2 linked regions of the Lepisosteus oculatus genome follow. Each later gene encodes a partner of the first gene's protein in a complex. Links are inferred from orthologs where the notes say so. Each region holds a gene or a part of one and is shown in the gene's direction. Other genes may lie near its edges.

Region 1 (11,831 bases):
TCTAGCACCAACTTGTACAATTAAGACTGACAAGCGCAGACGTTTGGTAAATCAATACAAAATCCAGCGTTAATTAATTTCCTTTACATTGGTGACTTTACAGAAGTCACCTATAACGTACAGATCAGTCATGAAATAATGGCAATATTTTAAAAATGTGCATTTCCACAAAAAGCACCTTGAATAATAGAACATACTGTAGATGTGTTTGTGCAGTATGTGTATGTCTGTGTTGGTGGTGGGGATGCTACAGTATTCCTATTATTTCTACATTTTACCTAAGACTGTATCAGTTTTTTTATCCATGGGGATCCCACATTCTATTTAATTGTAATGAATTTTGTTATTTTTAGTGGAGATGTTCATATTGATGAAATAATTCGAAAGGCACTGTGATGTGACTCATTTCATGAGTCACATGTATGATTGAAAAAAACACAAGAATCTTAAAGAGCAGCTGTGAACGAGGTGTCAGAGAGACAGAACCAAATAAAAGGTCTGTGCTCACAGGCTTACTTTCCCTATCAGCACTTCTGCTAGAGGCTTTAACTGTTTGCCATTTCATGGAACTAGTGTGTGGAAGGCAGTCTGTAGATCTTACCAGTTTTCCTGAGATATCAGCTCAATCTCAGCTCATTATATTGGATAAAAACAGTGAGGTATCAGAAAGTCTTCAAATGAGAACAGCTGGGAGGTGGATCACTATAGGTTTTGCATGTTTTTTGGTGATACAGAATATGAACAGCACAACCAGTAAAATGCTACTCCCTGAAGGATAGCATTAAAAGATGTTTGTCATTAAATATGTCTATTAATTAAACTGGAAATTATTCCTGACACTTCTGTTTTGTATTCTTGGAAAATAATTCTTATTTCTTATAAGGAATTCTTTTAAGATTTAAACAAAATTAAGATGAATGTTGAAATGTATCTGGCCAGTGGTTTATATGAAAGGATGGAAAAATGGATTAATATAACCTGTTGCTTAACAGTTTTCCTGTTGAGTAGCTGTGCTGCGCTTTGAACATTAGGAATAAATCTGACAGTCTGACAAGATGACACAAATTCTAAAGTATATTTCTGCTTTTAACTATTTTTTTTACCTTCCTTCCTTTTTTTTCAATTCCTCCAAGAATTATTATGTCTACAGTCTAGTCTTCATACCATTGAAATGGTATAATGTATCATTTGTATTTGTTTGAATTTATGTCTTATTTGTTATTATGCACAGTACAACGATTGTCATGGTTTCTATATTCACAATTTTGAAAGGCTTTCTTCTTTGGCTGCTATTATGATTTTTTTATTATTTGTCCTTAAAAGAAAACCAGGTTAAATTTTCATATTTTAGAAGTAAGTGACATGAAAAATATTTAGAGCTCAACAAACATGATTAAAATACTATTAAAAAACTCATACTTTGATGGCACATTACTAAGTATGAATACCAGGGAACATAATACAAAATACTAAGGTATGATAATCACAATTCAAATGTTTGAGGCTTGGCATTCAAAGTAATTCTGACATTATCAAAATAGATTTTGTTCTTGTTTTGTACTGTATGTACTCAGTTTAGTATTAAAAAAATATTTGTCATTTTGTCCTTAGGATCAGTATGATCAAAGCTAATTGGCTGTTCATTCAGCTTTTAAAAAATGTAATAGATATGCAGTCAGATTTGCATGATTAAGAAGACGCTGCATTAATGCCTTCTCGATTTACCAGACAAATTTACATTATGACATTTAAAGATTAAACTCCAATAATCAGTTTTATTGAGTGGATGTACAAACTCTCTGCTTCCTGTTATAAGAAAATAATATTTTTATTTCCAAGAAACTTTTATTTACCCTTTGTAGTGACTCACAGCTTATTTATTAATTCCATCAATTCCATTAGACTCACAACCCTTATAAGTATACGCAGGATATATATTTTTCTTAGTATCATTTTAAAATATGTTGTTGCAAACATTTTTATATTTTAATGATTCTGTTTTGACATGATTAAGGTAGAACAGGAAGTATTATGTAAGACTGTTTTTAAATACTGTCCATCACAGGACTTTTACTTAAATCTTTAAGAAACAACTTTACATACTGAATAGACCAACTTGTGATTTCTGTTTTCATTTACAGTGGAATTAACCTCTGCCTGCTTCTCTGTGGCTTGACAGACACAATGACAGACCTCCCCAGTGTAAATCCTACATACAGTACAGTACAAAATCAAGGTAGCCCAAACCTTTCAGTAATGTCACAAGAAATAATATCAAGTTACTGAAAATGTATTTATTTCATATACTTTCTTAAACATTTGTTTTACATTTTAAGGTGTGATTGCTAATTACCGTCATCTAGACTTCCTGCTATCACTGAAGCGATGGGTTCATTGTGCACAACTCCCTTTAAAACTGCATTGTTCTAATTAACATTAAATGTTGGCCTTGTTGTTAAAATTACAAACTCACAGGTGCTGTGGTCACAGGGATCACGGTAGATCCCTGGCAAGTCAAGAATAACTAAGGGCACTGGGATCTATACAAACCAGGCACTTGACAATCACATAATGAAATAGCCAAGGTTCAAGCTGTTGGTGTCTTGACAGAAGAGCTCAGTGTGAGCTCTGGACAGGTGTCTTTAATAGTTAAACCATTCCCAATCCCAAAGTTATTCTTTGAAAATCACAGTTACGAATATTCAAAGTCATAAAGCAGTACTGTCTCCTGAGCATTCATATTCTAAATTCTTAGTGATTGCATGCTCTTAGAAAGCCATCATTATCCAGGAGTACATTCTTTGAAAATAAATATCTGTATTAAACAAATGGACTGTGGTATGTATTTCTTTTCATCTGGTCTGAGTAAAGAGGATAGAGCTGAACATGACAGCACAGTTGTCATCATAACAAAGGATGTAACAGTGTTAAAACCTGGATTGAAAATTGCAAGCATATTCTGTATATTGAGTAAGGGAAGTTTTTTGGGGAGGGTTTATATCAATAGCACACACATGAAACTTCCAAAAAGATTTATAATGTAAAGTAAGATTTGGATTAAAAAATTCTGCTTTGGTTATTTAGTTTTATTCATGTGGAAATGTAAGAGTAGAGATGGTTTTGAAAGTCCTTGAAGGAATATAAAATTATGATTAATTTGATCAACTCTAACAGATCAGGCTCGGCCTTGTTCAGTCTCAGCAAAAGTATGTTGTGCCAAATCAGGACAAAATAGCCCACAAGCTGTCCTGTATGGTCCAGAAGAGATAGATGTCAGAAGAGTACATAGAAAATAATGTTGATTGATGCTGTTATCAAATTGTAACAGAGAAATCCATCTAATAATTCTATATTTGATCAGCCACCTATCTGGGTTTACTAATGGAGACTGATGAATGCAAATGAAGATTGTATGAATGTTTTTGGAAACTGACATGCTATTATGTTGGGAGCATTACGTTATGGGGTTGCTTCTCATCAGCAGGAACAAGGGAGGTAAGTCAAGTTAAGTTAAGAGGAGTAAAAGAATGGAGCAAATCACAGGCACATCTTTGAACAAAACCAGTTTTCGCTGCTTTAGACATAAACTGGGATGGAAATTCACCTTTCACCAGCTAACAACCCAAAGCACTAGGCCAGCACTACGCTGGCTTGGCTTAACCAAGAAACAAACAAAAAAAAGAAATAAAAGAAACACAGAAAGTCAATGTTCTTGAGTAGTAGTAGCTGATGGTTGGTAGAGCTTTATCCAAAAGCCTTGCAGCTGTAACTTTCGAAGGTGCTTTCACCAAGTATTGGGAATAAAAAATATATTCATTTCATTTTCTGATTAATCTGTGGCAGTTTTAACTGACATGTAACTTATTTCATCCATCCATACAGCGTATGTTCAGTTTGAGTTCTCCAGTTTGGATTAAAAATACTCACTTTAAATAGGAGTCTTATCACTTGTCAAGTACATCATTTGTAATACAAAAATATGGGCCATCATTGGAAGGCATGAATATGTCTAAAAGGCATCGTATATAACCCATCTATATTTTGAGTACTGTACCAGGGACATATACTATATATACAGTATATACATCAAAAACATGGAAGAAGCAGAATTATATGAGACATGTTCAAGATAATGCAGTATTGTGCATGATGGTTACCGATTCTGTCTTACAGTTACTGTGTTGGGTTGTCTCCAGGTGCTCTGCTTTCCTCTCTCCTCTCACAATTTGCTGGCTTGGTTAACTGATGTCTCTAAACTGTGTGTGTGTGCCCTGCAATGCTGTATATTCCTGCCTTGTGAACAGTGCTTCTGGAATAGATTCTGGGAGTCACAGTCTTTACCAGGCAAAATAAAATTGGCTTTCTGATAACGGATGGATGGGTCATACACGTGCGACAGCTGTAGCTTTCTGAAGACAGATTAAAGGATTCAAAAGCAGAAGGGAAACGAAGAAAACCTTGTCTGCAACGTGGAACAGATGAAGACTTGTGAAGCTTTTCTGTTGTTGAATCAAGTGGTACTGTATATACTGTAAATTCTTCAAAAGCCTCTCAATTAAGGTTACAGCACTTGTTTTTCAAAATAATCTTAAATATTCATACATTTTTGTCATGAAAAAGTATTCATGCTTAAGAAGAAAGAGTCTATCCCAGACTGACAAAGTGTTTTACGCAGGGGGAAGAAGGGAGGCAGTAAAGTGAAAGGAATTTGAGCTGAGAGGTGGAGAGGAGTGAAAGGAGGCTGTCCATTTTAAGAACTCTACACGCCACTGATTTTTTTCTTTTTATATTGAACTCAAGCTTCTAGAATATTTCAGAAAGCATTGTTAGATGAATATTAAATTAATGCAGTGCTACACTGAACTTTATTTTATTTGTACTCATCCAGTAAATAGTGGTTATTTTATTAATGTAGCTATTCATTATTAAATTCTATTATTTCTGTGAATTGTAATTGACTTTTAAAAAACATGTAGTCAATGACAGTACTGAAGCTCCTGCAGACAGATTTGATTACAAGCATCAGAGTTCCAGTGGCTTTCCATAGTAACAAGGCTGACAGCTACAGCAACCCAATTAACATTTCCCAACATCCTTACAAAATGTCAAGCTCACATTCCAATTATTTCTACACAAGCCTCAGTACACTATCACTTAATTTAACAGCTTTAAGAGACATCTGTACCAGACTCCATTAGTGGACTTTGTTGGCATCTTTGTGTAAATCAAAGTCTTGTGTGACTGAATTAAAATCCAGTTCTATCAGAGGCATCAATTAAATTGGAAAAAAAAACTAACTTTTTTTTTATTTCCCGTTTCATAGTTAAAGTTAAGCCAATATGCTACAGTATTTGGATGGTAGCTTTTGTATATTTTCATTTTTTATAATTAATTTTAACCAAATGTGAAATTGTAAGAAATGGACCTACTGGGTTTGCTTGCAGAAAGCCTGGTTTGTCTCGCGGCTCTCATTACAAAGGAATTGATGCTTTGCAGGCACTATGGTAACGCCAGAGCAAAAGTCGTGTTAAAGGTTTTGTAGGGAACGGATTGGAGGATAGGTGTTAGCGCAGCGAACTCAGCGATAGATTAGGCTGGAGGCCATCATTTTTTTTCCAGAATGGCAAGAATTAAAGTATATCTTACACCAAGAATTGTTCTGGAAAGCGCCAAGGAACGAGGCTGGAGCTTTCTCCCGCAGTGCCATCGCTGATCGGAAAGAGACGGTGAAATCCACAACCTCTCAGCTCAGCACCATGGACAGCGGTCAACAGCTACAGCCTTGACAGCACAAGTGCTTCTTAGATTCAAAATGGCTTTCAGCTAGGAAGGTTTTATTGTACAGTAGCATGTTGCGATATTATTATTTGGTACTTTCCTCATTTTAAATTTATTTTAATTAAAAAATGATTTAAGAGCATATCAGTTCAAATGACCTTCTATAGCAGATCTACGGCTATACTATAAAAACGATTTTTTAAACCTTTTTAGAGTTTTGTGATAATGAACAATTGTCTAGTGTTTTGCTCCATGTGTTTAACGCTCCAATAAAAAAAAACAATAAGAAATTAAATTCTCCAAAAAGCTGTTTGAATATGAATTATTCAAACAGGGTTGTGATGGCAAAGACATTTTATCTTACATAAACAACAGACTTTTACTTTTCGGCGTGGGATTAGGCTCTAGATTTGCCTTTGAAACTCGCACAAGCACGCAGCTCTATGCGGCAGATTGACATGCCTTCTTGTAAAGGATTAATGATTAAGAATAATTGCATCGGGATACTGTATTTTCGATCATTTCAATAACTTTTTCAAAAAAATACAAACTGGAAATAAACATTTAGGACTGATACGAGTAGTAATGATGCTCCGCTATATGTACTGTAATACAGTAGTGCGATTGATAGGAAAATGTCATAATTTTGAACGATAGCTCCACCTGCAGACAGTAACCGAGAGAGCTGGGAATGAGAAAGGACGAGAGGGGCATGACTACAATGCGCTGGTATTTAAGATGTGCACGCGCGTAGTGAACATGACGTGTATCCTTACACTCATGCAACGCCACATTTTCAAAGCTCAATGTTTCTTTCTTAAATCTTTTTCAATATAAAAATATTTTGTGGTCCTTGGAAAGAAGACAGAAACGTGCTATAGGGCTAAGACGGACCTGTATTAAAATAATGAGAATAATGAAAACAGTAGCTATGTAAAAATATGCGACTAACTGTAGCCAGTCCAACCACAGGACAATAGCTTTCTGGTCAAAGTAATTACAGTAGCTGTGCCATGACGCATCAATTCATAATAAGCGCCTGTTATTTTAATGTGATTACTTATTAAGTAATACAGCACGTGCTTTTCAATGGAGTTAATGCAAAATGTACTGTTGATGTATTAAGTCATTATGTACAGTATTCATGGGCTATTCATATGGCTTTCTCTATTCGCCAAGATTGAATCATGAACAGCCACTTGCTGAAAAATGTTTCCTGTTTGGTATTTATATGAAAACATAAGTTGTTAGTTGTCCCATCCTAATAACTACTTACTGTACATAATCCACTGTCTCATTGAAAACCATTTGATAGCCATTTCTTTATACCACTGCAATACTATTGTACAGCATATACTGTACTGTATGTACATGCATGGGTTTGAGTAGTGTTATTACATTGTGTTTGATTCATCTAGTAAAATGCTTTCATGACACGTTTCCACGATGAAAAAAAAAACCTTAGTAAAGTACAGCCAAAAACATACAGTACATACAGTATACACATAATTTACATCCCCTTTAAGAGACAGATTGTGTTTGTAGTACACTTTCGTCTGTTGGGCTGTTCTCTCCAAGTTTCTGCATGCCGTACTGTATATCTGAAACACAAGTTGTGTAATTTTATATAAAGCTTCGCTTTACGCTTTTCTCTGCATTACTCTTAATCGTATCGTTTTTTTTATCGTTTACAACATAGTGTGCATCCAATTTAATTTTGTTTAAAAAGGGAGTCTAGCCCGAATGCAGTTAGGGCACGGAGCCCAGCAACTCGATGCTGTAAAGCATAAACACCCAAGACAGTCAGTAGCAGTGCTAGTAGCTTCTGAGTGCGTGATTGGAGACAAATTGAGTTCGACCTCAGAAGTTTTGATTTCTCCGCATACGGAAACAGAAAAAAGAAGGGAAAAAATACAGGAGGCACTGACACACACACAGAGGTACCAGGGCGCTCAGTCTACCGACTAGATGTCTGTACTCGACTGAAAGCCATGAAGACGCGTTGTATTTTAAGACTAGCGAAGAATAACAGTCTCCCTTAACACACAGTAAAGCTTCCAACAGTACTGCGTGAGCTTAATCAGATCTGGATTGCAGAACAAACGAAGAAGAAGGGGGGTTTCCAGCTTTGCCTGCTGAAAAAAAAAACATCCGCTTTAAATTGAGCATTATCTATCAGCAAGCACACTACCACACCTCCCCCCTCACATGTAAAAAAAAAATGTTTCGTTCATCTTAGAGGTCTACAGTAACCTGAACAGGCTTTGAGAATTGCAAACAGAACACTGAGAGGACATTTAAAAAGAAGGGGGAAAAAAAACAATCTACTGAACCGGAACCTTTGACATTCATCTTGGGAGACAAAAAAAGAGAAAATAGCTGATATTGAAGGAGAGGTGGAGTCCGCAATATATACCGGTATGTACCTGAAACTATACTGAATGATTTGCATGGGTCGCAAAGGAACTGGGGTTTAGCTTTCGTGCTGGGGGATTTTTTCTGTTACTTGACAAGTGATTAGTCGTTTTGATTAAATATGTATTGACTGTAATGTTGCCTGTAAAAATCAATTATGAGCCTTTGATATATGCAACGTAATTACTAGGGTGCAAAGTGACCTGACGTCAAATTCTTATGTAACATACTTTCTTAGTAAAAGTGATTGAGGCAAATAATTCATAAAGCTGGGTGTATTCAACTGTAATCAAAGAGTCTGTAAACAGGACCCGAGTCTAGAGATAAATGTGACAGGAATGTATCCCTTTTGTTTTCTTTAAAAACAGGTTAGCAGTTCATCATGGATTTCCCAAATGCACCAGGTGGTTTTAGAGACCCCAGTCTAAGCCGATTGCTCAACGACTCTGCTTTTAACATGAACTTCAGTGCTTATAACTACACCTTTGAGGGGGTACTGCCCATTGGCGTGAAGATTACAATTGTTGTACTGTACATGATCGTCTGTGTAGTTGGGCTGGTGGGAAATTGTCTGGTCATGTACGTCATTATCAGGTAAGTAAGACACGTTCTAACGTGCAAATTACTCTCGAACATACAGTAGATGTTTTATTTAAACTTTAAACATTTGCTGCGCGTTGTTGGCCTTAAACGTTTTATAATGTATGCTTTTTAAAATTTAAGTTATTTTATTGGCTCTTTTGCTCCCTCTTTTGGAATGTGGGTGGAATGAAAGGCTGTGCTCCTGTATCTCTTTTAAGTTTAAAAAAGTTTAAAATTCCGCATAATGCCATATTATGAAAGTCCTCGGATACGCGGTGTTGTTTCGATCACATTGACGTGTTCGACTGATTATTTTTTGTTTATCTGTTCCAAGCGAATTAATCAGTCAAAACCAATATCAGCAAAAAGAAATCTGCTTGAGTAAGTTGTGATGTGTGTCATTGCATGACGACCTCTAAAAGGTTACTGAAATGCCCCGAAAACAACGATGGAAAACGGCCTTTGATCGCGCTTATAAAACGTATGTATTGAGATCTTAAAGTAAAAAGAAAAGTTTTAGAGGATTTTTCTGATTATTAAACATGAGCTTTCCTTGAAAACGTGATTGCTGTGTACACAAAACGTGAAGCAATTGAACAATAGTGTTGTTGTAACAACAGTACTGTATGTGTATTTTCACACCACACATTTTTAAACTTTAAACTTTTTTTAATATGAATAAAAAACTGCAAATTAAAGCATAATAAGCAGAAAGAGAAATTAAACAACAGACTGCTCTTTTTTTTCAGTGATTGTTCTGTTCCATATACAGTATACAGTATTCTCTGGAGTGGTTAATACTGTATATTGTTGTCTGTCGTTGTGCCTTGGCAGAACTGTAATGTATCAGTCATTATTGCCAATAAAGCCCATTGAATTGTTTGCAACCAAGTGATTATATTTCAGTTACAACTTCAGCTTTATATCTCGTGATCTGAGCAGACTGAGCTCATCAGGCCAAAACATATTTCTATTTTTCAACTGTTTAAAGCATTTTGTTCAAACTCCAATGCCAATGCAGCTTTTCATGTTCACACTCACTGTTAACAAATCTACGTGGTCCAATAAAATAGTTTAACTTGAGCTATGTTAAGTCATGGCAGCATAATTAATTTTCTTGTGCTTCGTTGTTGTTGATATAGGGTACTGAATTGTATTTCCTTAGCTTGCTGGTCATCTTATAAATACAGGCCCAGGCAAAAACAGCAGATCATCTGCTGAGGTGAGCCTTGAATGTGAGTGAATGCTGACTAGATGTTCACAGGTATCTAACAATCTTCCTCGAAACTCACCCAATGTCAGTGCTTCTATTCTATTTCTGGTTAATGTTACCAAAGATACTCCAGGTTGGTTTGGAACTTAAAGTTCACTTATACTTTATTCAATTTCCAAATATCAGTCAATAGCAAATGTTTTGAAGACATTGAGAAAAGCTGAAAACATTATGTTTTTGATGTGACATCTTTTTGAGAAATTCAGTGTGAAGTATAACCACAATGGCATTTGTTTTTATGGTGGTCATTTTGGTTTTAGAAATATTTTCATAGCAAAATACAAATAGGAAATAGAAATTTCTAACAATCCATAGCTGAACCGCGTAATATACAGCCCCTCTGATTCACTTCTCTGTTGTACTCTAGTGCAACCAGAACCTCAGTTACTATATTGATCCCACTTACTACTTACTAATTACTGAAGTGAGCAGCTGCTTGCTGCAAAATTATTCAAAGGACTGGCTTGGATAGACTGCAGGTTGAATAGCTCTGGTGTGTGATGTACTGAATATAGAGAGATGTCCTCTATATATATTTATCTAGGACATGTATGAAACCCAGTAGAAGCCATGATCAGTGCTATCTGGTATAAAAATGTGTCTAGTGCTAAGTCAGATAGCAGCTCTTCATGGGGTTATGCAATTTTACAATTTAAGAGAACAGTCTGTGAAGTATGGAATGCCACTGGCTCAGGACAAACACTAACAGTGGAACACTTACATTTATTGAGTAACAAATGGCATTGTACAGAATTACATCAGTTTAACACTGCTATCATAGTCTTAGAAATGTTCAGTGCCAAAGCATACTCTGACCAATATGTGAGTTCTGATATATAATTGTCAGTACTACAAACACATTTGAATATCTGTTATTAAGGAACAGTGAAATGGAGGTGGAACCATTTATCTTTTTTAAAAAAATGATAATACTTAATATGATAAGACAGTAGGAATGTATAAAAGTAAATTTATTAACTCTTATTTTTATGTACAAACACACCCATCCAAAATATTTATCTTTATTCAGTATGCCGTGTTCGACATCTATTGTTTAAAATTTTGAAACAAAACAACCTTAGGGTATAGGTGTATTAAGGATCCAGATTCTGATTTTTTTTTTCTGCTAATATTTTTTGCTAAGTTAGATATTGTGTGCCTTCAAAACTACCAAATCAGAAGAATGAAGATAACAAAGGTGTATTTTGATGAAAGGTTTAAAATATTAACAATTTTACAAAATGTTACTGTTAAACATGATTAAAGACTCTTAGGCTGGTTGTCACATCTTTTTACTTGCAGATATTGTAAAATCTGATTTTGATATTCTGAAACAAACTCTTATAATAAACTTGCAAGTCCAGAAAGGCAAAATAAATATGAACAAGGTACTGTATATTAAGTGTTTTATTTTTTTTGCTTTAGCATAATTTAGGAATTTTGGCTGGATTCTGTTTGAAGACAGAGATAATGGAGCAAATTGTACTGTACATTAGGGCAGAAAGATTTGAAATTCTTTAGCCTCATGTGTAAAGGCTTATTTGGAATCTGATTCATAGGAAAACAATACCTCTCTGAAGGCTTTCTTGAAGGACAGAAATGAATGTCAGTATTATCTTCATCTTATAGGTCACATCGGTATTTTGTGTTGTTTAGTCCTCTAGTTGTGATTCAATTCTTAAGATACTTCCAGTATCATTCAAGATGTAATGGTATGGCCTTACTTGTTTTTTCAAAAACGTTCTTTATCCTGAATACATACATGAATGCGTGGCTTGTACTG
Region 2 (10,846 bases), on another chromosome or scaffold:
AGACAGCGTTTGTATCTCCTACAAAATACACACTGCCTCCAGATTCTTGCTCTCTATCTACTGTACATATCCAATGCAATAATAGCAGGCTGATGGAGGGCACTGATACAGCGCAGGGTCATGTCTGACTAGTTACCAACGTAGAAGCTGAGTACAGGCTGTAGAATTCACAAAATTATGGCAAATTTAGTTTGAATGCTCTTAACCACAATCCAGCTTTGTGGACAACTAGCAAGTAAAATCGATTATGAAAGAGCCAATATTCAGAACAGTGATGTGTGCATTTTAGGGCCTACTGTACATCTGAACTGCAGTTCATTTTTCAAAATGGCAGAGCTCTGAATTATATTCAATTTCATATTTTACCAGTTCACCCATCCAGGAGTACCCTAGTGCTAGTTTTCAGATTGAAACTAGATAATTATACTCACTGTTAAATTGTTTCACTTCATCATTTAAGTTACTTGCTTATTATATTTCTAAAATTAATATTATAACCATATTTTTTCCATTATGTTTGCTTAATGAATTGTGCTCCTCATTTTTGTTTTTACCATTAAAACTAATATGACATGACTTTACTTTAAGCTTTTAAACAACAACATTCACAAGCTTTAATTTACAGAGCAAGTTGTATGAAAGCCATTATTCATACTAATTTTTGTAGAATAGCCAGATTGCTGAGTCCTTAGAGGTCTCTGACCAACTGACAACTGTAAAAATTCTGAAAATACTGAAATTCCCAGTGTTTTAAACTGAGCAAGACAACAGCATCTAAAATATAAGGAGTTCATTCTTAATTATAGTTAGAATCTCTTTATTATTTACATTTCTAATCTCTACATATCAACAGTTAGGCATCCAATTCAGCAATTATAAGTTATTATTAATGCAGAACTACATCAATTTTAAAAAGTAGCCTTATTGTATACATTTGGCCAAACAATGGGCTCAAAATGGATATAATATAAACACAACAGCATTAAGTGACTTGTACTTGTGTATTAGTATGGTTTCATTACTGACTCAACTAAGGGTACAACAGCTAAATCAGGCTATTCTGAGATCTACAGTTTTCAGAATGCATTATTTTCAGTTCTTGGACCTTCTTAGATGTATATGGACAGAAATGGTCAAACCAGGGGAGAATGAAAGGCCATTAGAAAACTAAATCCCCTCATTTGTCAAATCCTCCTTTGGAATGGGTCAAAGATTTACTATGTACTGTATGCATAATTATTGAGAGTTACAGGATTGTAACTTATAAAAATCAGAAATATTGTATTACTACAATTTAGTTTTTGTCACAATTGTAAACCCCTCCTCTTAAGGACGCTCTAGCCCTTCCTTGTTTTATTCGTAATCTCCTGCACCTGCCTTCGGTTCCTGGCCCCGTGCTATTAAAGCCAGATGTTCCTGCCAATCTAGGCTCAGCTTTGGACGATGGATGCCCGGAAGCCCGCCTACCAGCGAGTCCAGGAGCTGCTCAACGGCATAGGCTTCAGAACGGCATCCTGACCATCTGGGTCCGGGACTGGGAGCGTCCGGCCCCGTTACCCCCCTTTTATTCCCCCGACCCTTCACAGATCCCGCTCCGGCTTTTAACTCCGTTTGTCTGTGTCAGGATGGATCACCCGGATTTGGACATTGACTTTCCCTGGTTTATCTTACAGACTCCTTTGGATTTGTTTGCCCTGGACACACACACGCCCCTCCCCGAACACCAGCGCACCTTGGACACGCCCCCTGTTCTTCTTCCAGCCCCTAACCTAGTACCTAGTCTTTTTCCCTATGTTTTCTCTCTCCCTTCCGGATTGTGTTGTCTGCATAAGGTCCTGAAAGATGTGGCAGAGTTTGCCTCAATTCATATGGGAACTTGGATTTCTTCTCTTAAATTACATTCTGTTGTTATTTAATATAGCTGGTTGGCAATATTAAGAGTACCAGGGAAAGATCCTTTCCTCATTATTCCATTCTGTATGGAGTATCTCTGCTACAAGAGAAAACTCAGTACAATTTTCCTAGTTCAGTCAAAAAGAAATTCTCTCACTTGTCAGAAAGTCACTTAAAGACATTATTTCTTCTACCTCAAGTACAGTACATTAGTTTTATTCCACTGGTACTCTAAATAAAATAATGAAAGAATTTAAAAACCGTTAACATAGTTTTGAAAGTTGCTCATTCAAAGCCTTATAATGGAGCATTGCCCCTGAAAAATTAATTTGGAGATAACAACGATAAAATATAATGTGTATAATAATTTGAGGAGGTCATGCATATTAGCTTATTTTAAAAGACATGCTAAGAAACTTTGTTTTTTTTCTGTGACTTGTATAGAAAATGAAAAGAATACTGATAAAAGAACAATAAATAATATTTTTTGTTTCAGAATACTAATTATAACTCACAAGGCATTTAAAGGAAATTTGACATAGTTAAGCAAAGCAATATGATTTTTGTACTGACCATTGACATATAGCTTTATTATCCTGAAGGGCTGAATTACTTTGAGCTCTTGAGTGTGGAGGAGTTCATATTTACCAAATATGAGGCAACTCCATTGTTTTTTTCCCTTAGGCTTGAATGATTTCAGATAGATTTTCAATTGCACATATTTTACCTTTCGAACCAAAGGATTTATTGTTTTTTTCTGTTCTCCTAAGAGTAATTATTTTCTAAAAGGTAAGTAGTGAGTTTCTGCTTTATACATTAAAGAAATGTGTGTAGGCGGTACAGTATTTTTATTTTGTCAAAAAGGACAGTGGATTTTCTAGATTTGGGTGGGGAAGGTCACAATTCCATTAATGCATTGTTTGAGGTAGTGTATAATTATTTTATTTTTTATGTGATACATTTTGTGGAGGATTATATTATGGGTTGGGATGCATTGTTTGAAGGTTATTGGTTGAAGAGGAGGAGGTTGCGAAATTACAGCAATTAAGTCAATGAGAGCTCAGATGGAATTAAAACTAGAGGATCTTGTGACCTCAAGGTGTGATATTGAATTACCGGAAGACAAGAAATATTTTACATGAAATAAGTAAATGAGAGACTGACGCAAAATGTACCAGCTAGCTTGTCCAATAGTTTGCTCTCTTAAATCAGTGTTCCATGGAACCACGCTTCCCCTACCCACTGCTATAACTCCCACAGGTCTGTTCCAGTAGCTGAGCCATCAATCAGACTGCACCTCTCCGTGAAATTGCATCTCTCCTAACAAGTGAGGTATTATCATTGCTTTAACTTATATTTCTGGAAGCATCCTTTTAATGAGAAAAAATATTTCTTACTTATTTGTTTGGGATATGTAGGGCTTTTCCGGTTTTGATAGCTGAAAATGTATTTAGAGTCAACTTATTTAATGCTTATATTACAAAAAAAAAACATTCACTATTACATTTTTGAATGAGAATGTAGCAAAATGGTTATGAAATCCAGTCTGGTTCTATTTGTGATTTAATAACTCCAGTTTCATGCAACTATTTAAGTTCAGAATTGAGTTAAAATAAAACCATACCACTTTAAACCTAAGATGCAAAAAACAAAATGACATATTTTCTTTATGCATAAGATACTATAGTGCCTTGTCATTTCCTGGCTATTTATTTTTGGGTGAACAGGAAAGGAATTTGGGATGACATTAGCTTTGGGTGAATGAATAAAACGTGTATCTATGTACAGAATCTTTCATCAAGTCCAGATCCTAAAAAACTTTCCAAGTTCTTAAGCAGACACTGAATTGCAGTGCTCCTGCCAAGTCTGTATGGAGCTGATAAAGAATTTAAAGACAAGCGACTGAACCTGCTTTCTGGCTCACCTGTATCTGAGGTCTTCAACTGATTACTGATGAGTACTGACTGGTTGCCTGATTACTGAGTGCCAGAGCTTGTCCGTAGATTACAGCACTCCTAAAAAAAAGGAAAAGGAACAGAACTGGGTGTAAGCCAAGCAACATTTTCTGTACATAGAATGGCCACAGAATATTTCCTAGACTTTACTGAACTTGAGTACTGATGGTACTCATCCTACCCCACCCCACCCTGTCTGTGTGTGTCTCATGGAGAGCAAGTTCGGGTATGTGAAAAGACAAACTCTTAATACAAGAAATTGTATATGGCCAATAAAGTGATCTAATAAGATCTCTTATCTATCTCAGCAAGCAATGGGCACAAGGCAGGATACACCACTGGACAGAATGCCAGTCCATTTCAGGGCAGACACATACATACAGTATCTAGGCCCAGCTTTCCAAGAAACCAATTAAAATGCTAGTCTTTGGACTGTGGGAGGAAACTGGAGCACCCGGAGGACATCCACATGGACATTAGGATGCAAAATCCATATATTTAGTACTTCAGGATTCCAGTGCTGTGAAATCAGTCTGGCAAATCTGGGATACACTGACGCTGGAGTTGAGCAGGTTCTGTGTACTGGTATGTATAGCAGATTGCACAAGTGTTGCTATTGAATGTTTTCTAAGCATATAAATACATTAATATTCACCCCCTAATTTAATTTATCATTCTTTGCTAAAGTTAGGAATGATGTTGAAGAAACCACATCTGTGTCTCTAATTAACATGAGCTCAGCAAATGAATAAATACATATTGAGGCAGAAATAATTAAAATGAACCCAAAAGATTTTGATGGAAGAGGTAATTTCAAGATTTAAATGTTATTATTTCTGAATTAGATACCTGCAACAAATACAAAGTATATTTAATAATTAAGTCCTTCTGCATCATCTGCACAGAATGTTTTAAAGGAATTGCAGTTGAGACTGGAGGAGTCCCCCAAACCTAACTGGGGAAGAGCCCAGTTACCCATAAGACATGATCCTTTTAAAAAAGACAACTATGCATGAGAGTAGGTTTTGACTTTAGTGTTGAGAGAAACAGAGACCCACAAAGACTGTTACAGAGATGGGGGATGGGTGCGGCAATGCTGGGAATTTATTTTATTTTTTTGCACCTCGTCCATTCCCGGAAATGAGAGGCAAGTGACGCAGGTTGGTAGTATGCTGTCTTTGAGTCACTTAATGTGTCCATCTGTCTGTCTCTCTTGCCTCCTGCGCAGGAAGCTGTCTCTTTCTCTAAGAGAGCAGGAGGGAGGGAGGCTATGAGAGAGGATGGACTAAGGGGAGGGGTGTGTCAATATAAGAGAGCAGCATGACAGGAGCACTCCAGTTACTTCAGGAGCAGAAGACAGGACAGTACTGCCACATCCTGATTCCCAAAGCAAAGGACTCATCAGATTTCAACACAGAGAGGTAGGGATTGGCAGGGTTTTCATCAGCTTCAGCTCTGGGGATTGTTTCTGATTGGGGGTGAGGGCTAGCATCAATTGCTTTTGAAGAGACAGGTTCTCTTTTTTTTCCCCTGGAAGTGATCTCTTGCTCTCTGTGCTTTTCAGTTTGTGGAAGTTTTCTTGTCTTCCATTTAAACATTTGTATCTCTCATTCTCAAAGGGGCATAATTTTATGATTTTTTGGATTTTTGTTTCTTTGCATTTTCCAAGATCAAAAATAGATCTTTTTTTCATGTTTGTGTTCTTTTTCTATTGTCTTGTCGTTCCCTGTCTTGGACTGTAGGTTTTACAGGTCACTTGCTCGTATCATTTCTTAATGTTTCATTTACTCCTTTTCTTTTAAGACATTCCTTATATAATTTGTTTTCTGTTGTTAAATTTAAAAAAGATCTGCATGGCTTAGTTCACGTTCTTTGAAACAGTCCAGTTAAAAGTTTATGTTGTCCAAAATGTTAGTTTCTTCAAAGTGTAGTGTCTTTGCAGCTCTTATTCTTTTTATTTTTTCCCCAAATATAATCTACTTGGAAATTAAATCTACTATAATCTACTATAATCAATTTGGAAATTAAAATGACTGTACTCTACATTCTTCAATTAGTTCATTTTCATTACTCGGTAACTTTTAAATGATTTACACATTCTTTTTTAAAAAAAAATTACAAAAGATTTTCTCTCCTGCACTTAATTAATTTATTATCTTTGATATCTGCTAATATTTTTCTGCATTTCATAGACTAAAGGGGGCTATACTGTATATCCTTAAATTTATCTTCTGAGAGGCAATTTATGCACTGAGTCATTGAAAGTCTAAAAGATAAGTATTAAACTTTTTAAAATTTTCTAGCGTATACAGTATATTGTACTGTATATATTAAATAAAGTTGAATCCATTTAAAGGGTTGAAGTTTTTAACTTTTAGAACTTCAGTCATGGAGATGGAAATATTCAGCCTATCATAGCCTGTCACATTTAAGAGACTATAATAAGAAGTATGATTACCATCATCATATTACAATTATTTTTGGTTTGCAAAATGTATTAATGCAAATTAGCATGAAGAACAGAAATCTCAAATGCCATATGGAAGTCTTTACAAACCTGTTTTAATATACTCCTTTCCTTCATTCACTTCCTTCACTTTTATGCACAAACTGTCAAACATTTTTACATTTGAAATACATTTGTTTTGTGTTCCTTGTTAATATTTTCCAACTCTTAGCTTTATCTAAAACTGTGTACCCACTGACTAAAACTTCATTCTGGTGTATTCCATCTAAAAAATTCCTTTTTTTGGTCTCGGGGTTAATTTGACAAAGAAAATGTACGAACTACATTTTCATTGATGAATTTCTGAGCTCTATATATAACACTATCGTACATGCTTTGTGTCTGTTTCTGTGAGGACCCCCCACATCATTTTTTTGTTAACATATAATCTGATTTGGAAATACTACACCTTTTTCCACATGGAGAATACTCAAGGTAGTACACATAATTCCAAGATACTTCAAATTTTTTACTATCTGCATATATTTTATGGGTTATATATTGATGATAATTGCACCTCTGAAAAATGGGGACTTGTCGAGAAAGGTAGTAAATAAGATAAATAGGTGTCTGGCTTTTGCTATTATTTTTTTCAGTGGATTTATTCTGCCATCACAGATTATCTTCACAGACTTCTGACACCATTAACAATCTCCAGTAATGAAAGGCTCTGGCCTCAGGGAAGGGGAACACTGTTGTGTGCTCTTTTCAAAGAAACAGTCTGTGCCAAGATAATGCAGGCGACTGGGGCAGGGAGATTAATATCTGACTTTGTGCGCGATGTTTCATGCTTTAAAATCCTACTGAGCCCGATCACAACATGAGAATCTCACATTGCTTTTTCAATCTCGCACATTGACTTTTATAGCAATTGTCCTTCGTTAGCAAACAGCTTTTCGGAGAGTCTCTGCCTGATGATTGACAGTTGACACAATGTGTCATCATACTTCCACCCAAAAGTAACTGGTTATAGTCATCATGCTGATTTCTTTTTTTAGAAATGCGCACAAACCACGCTAAACATAAATAAGTGGTTCGTTAATGAGATTTCTTCCAGTAAATGTTCACAGAAACTTCCTAATTCTGCAAAATGTTTGCAAGCTTCAATGTTGAAATTATACTGTCTCATGGACAACCCAGAAAAGACACTTAACCCCCCAAAAATTAAAAATAAATCTAATGGTCTCTTTGCACTGAAAACCAAAATGGGATAATGACAAGGGTTTGCTAGTTAAGTAATTAAGATTAAGGGTCTGGTTATGAGATATTTCAAGTTCATATCCCAAGCTCAGGTTCTGGCTCATTACTGTTACTTGATAAAGTACTGTACATGAACTTACATTACTTAGGATCATTATGTATTGTTCCTTTGGATGAAAGTTAAAACCAAAGTCATATTGTAAAAGCCTCTGCAGCAAGTAATTTGTGACACAAAGCTTGCCTAGCTTCTATAAGCCTCTCCTCTCTGGATATAGGTGTCTGGTAATTCATCAATAAAGAGGTAATTTGGTATATTTAAAAATAATGCATTTAATACCATATTATGACCTTTCAACATGTTATGTTTATCTCTTGCTACTGGGTAGTATGAAATTCTCTCCTGCAAGTCAAAATCAGGGTTCTTGATTTCCTTGAAATCATTGTTTTTGTTAAGGTGTCTCTAGTGAAACAGAGATTAATCTAAATCTTCAACGTTGTAAGCACTAAATAGAAAAGAAAAGGGAGAGGAAAGGGTGTCCTTTAACAGTTTAGTCTGGAATAGTATGTGCTGTGTCAGTGATTAAGGAAAAATAAAAGAAGATTGTGACTATATTCTAATTTCCACCAAATAAAGGAATCAGGGCATAATGGAAAACATTTGCAGGATTTTAAAATAAGTCCCAATATGTACATGTACTTTCCATTGATTTATGTTGTGGTGCTGTTTGAGGGATTTCAATATGACATAGAACTGGATGGTCACATTGCACATCTGAAGATGCACACATGTTGCATACTGTACATTTCTGTTGTGACGTACTGGAGAGATGTGCTGAACCATTGAAAGTTTCAGAAAGATCTGAACATTCAAAGCAGTTCCTTATCACTATGTCTATAAGCGGTGTGCAACCATCCTGACATACATGTAACAGCTCTCCAGCAGGACGACACATTAATTCCTATGATGCTCACCTAACAATGGAATGGCTTTCTTGCGAGTGTGACAGTTGTGCTATGGATGCCCAACTCACTTGACTTGGGTTGGCATGTATCATATGTGGTGCAGAGACCAGTGAAAAGCACTTGGCCAGGACAGAGAGCATCTGCAACCTAGTGCGATGAAACATACAGCTTGTTAGGCTTCCAGTGGTGGCCAAAACTATGCACTTTTTTCACTGGATTAAACCAAACTTTTTCAGGTTTGCTGAAAAATATTCTGTGTTCTTCTGTGTTATCATGCATCTGACAAATAAAAATTATCTTAATCCGATAACAACTAATGACCATCCCAGTCTATTGTGCATTGTTCTGTAAGTTGAGTACTTCTACCAGATTTCATGAGTTCCTCATTTACATTACATACTACAGTAAGAAACTGTTCATGTCATAACCATATTTTGCTTCAATGCCGATGGTAAGAGACTTAATATGATTTAAGATTTTTGTCCTTTTAAAATCACACAGTCTCAGCTTTCCTGCTTTTCTGGTAGGTTTAATTGAATTTGCTTTGGATTAGGTTGTTCATCTAGTCTTTCACTGTGAAATAAATTTACATTTCTGGTATGATTCCTGTATTTCCCATTCTACATGTACAGGTAAAACTTGTTTTCATAGCAGAAATAAGATACAAAAATAATCTTTAATATTAAGATTGCATACTTTGTGGCTGGCTTCCTTCAGGGTCCTTGCTTGGTTAAGGTACGTAACAGCAGAGAATACAGAAGAGAAGCAGGGTGAGGAGAATATACTGTAGCACAACACAGAACAGTGAAAGTCCAAACTTTCACAGAACAGAGAATGTCCAAATGTTCACAGAACAGAAAAAGCACACACATGTCCAAATGTGTGTGCTTTTTGAACTCTGATGCTAAGGAAGGTTGAACCAGTACTGGTCAGTGATGGCATTGAAGACCTTGAAGGAAAACCAGGTTATTAATGATCCCTTCTGCAAACTGAAAAAATGTATATATGTTAGAAAGCAGATTCTTTCTTAGAGTCAGGAAATCAGGTTTTGATTTGCAGTTTATTCTGAAATGGTACATCAAACATAAATGAAGTTACACATTTTATTGATGGAGACCAAAAAGAATTTTGTCAAAGCTACATATGTTTTTTTCTAGAACAAAAATATGCAGTACAAGCCTATACTGTATGAGTTCAAAGTGACAATACACAAACCAGTAAATTAATTTTCTCAACTGCAACAACCTTTTGTTTTATAATATAAAGTATGTTTATCACATTTATCTCATTAAACAGTAAATGTTTAATATTTAAGACGTCATGCCTTTTCATGGTTCAAACAACACCACTCAAATACTGTTGTAAGAAGTCCTCTTTTTCCTGCAATGGTGAAAAACAGTATAAAATAAAGCTGTTTTCTAAAGGTTTGATTTAGTTTTCTTTAGTTCACTGCTGCCTTAAAGACTCAAAGCAAGTATTAGATTGCAGACTGCATGGTCTTTTAATGATTAGATAGAAGCACTCAGCTAAGAAAAATCATTTAGAACTTCAAGGTCATTTTTAAGCCATTTAAAGTTAATAAAAGCAAAGGCATGAGAAAAAGAGGCTCACGGTTGTGACTAAAGTGCCTTAATCAGTATGTCAATTTCCATATGATTACATAAACTAACAGAGGCGTCACACTTAATTTTCCATTACTCATGCTTTTTACTTTTTATTTACTTTTATTCATTTTTTTAAAACTGCTAATATAACATAACTGTGTGCTAATATAATATAACTGTGTCCAGTTTATGAAATATTTTACAGAGTAGTTGTGAAACTATTTTTTCTCCAGAAAATAGCTTTTTTTCCATTTCAATACAATTTCACAATATACAGCAGCAAATGTCTATGATGGAGTATAAGAAGTTAGAAGCAAATCTAGCAGTAAACAATGCACATAGGAAAATTAATGTCTAATAAAAATTCTTCCATAAACCAAATTGATTGGCAAACTTCAATTTAGTATTACGTATATCCATTTCTATACCTGACAACATTTAAGAAAGCATATAACAGTAATGATTTGTTTTAGTGTGGAAAAGATTTTTGAGAAGGATACACAAAGAACTGAACATGAAGATTACAAGTAAGAAGAGATCACCTTGCCCACTGGCTTCTTGTATTACTAGTAGCTAAATGATCTGAGATATCTGAGCAATTGATCTATTCCAACTGTTTCTTAAAAGAAATGATGGTATCCGCTTCAACAACATTAGTGGTTAGCTCATTCATGGTTCCCTAACCCTATCCTCAGTAACGGTGTTGAAATGAGTGGGGGTTTTGG

The links.
Region 2: the proteins of oprl1 (region 1) and prepronociceptin are in contact, whole or in part, in a cryo-EM structure (PDB 8F7X), measured with the Homo sapiens proteins. The link is inferred for Lepisosteus oculatus from reciprocal best matches to the Homo sapiens genes OPRL1 and PNOC. Residues at the interface, in NP_000904.1 of Homo sapiens: Gln107, Asp110, Gly114, Phe115, Trp116, Val126, Ile127, Asp130, Tyr131, Met134, Gln192, Glu194, Ile198, Glu199, Cys200, Leu201, Val202, Ile219, Val279, Gln280, Val283, Gln286, Gln291, Pro292, Ser293, Val298, Leu301, Arg302, Thr305, Tyr309; in NP_006219.1 of Homo sapiens: Phe130, Gly131, Gly132, Phe133, Thr134, Gly135, Ala136, Arg137, Lys138, Ser139, Ala140, Arg141, Lys142, Leu143.

Annotation. Positions count from the first base shown.
Region 1 is NC_090711.1:5,176,562-5,188,392, forward strand, and holds the start of oprl1 (nociceptin receptor), read left to right. Parts: upstream 1-7,417; 5' UTR 7,418-8,196; intron 8,197-8,561; 5' UTR 8,562-8,575; coding exon 8,576-8,787; intron 8,788-11,831.
Region 2 is NC_090697.1:60,106,471-60,117,316, reverse strand, and holds the start of prepronociceptin, read left to right. Parts: upstream 1-5,184; 5' UTR 5,185-5,269; intron 5,270-10,846.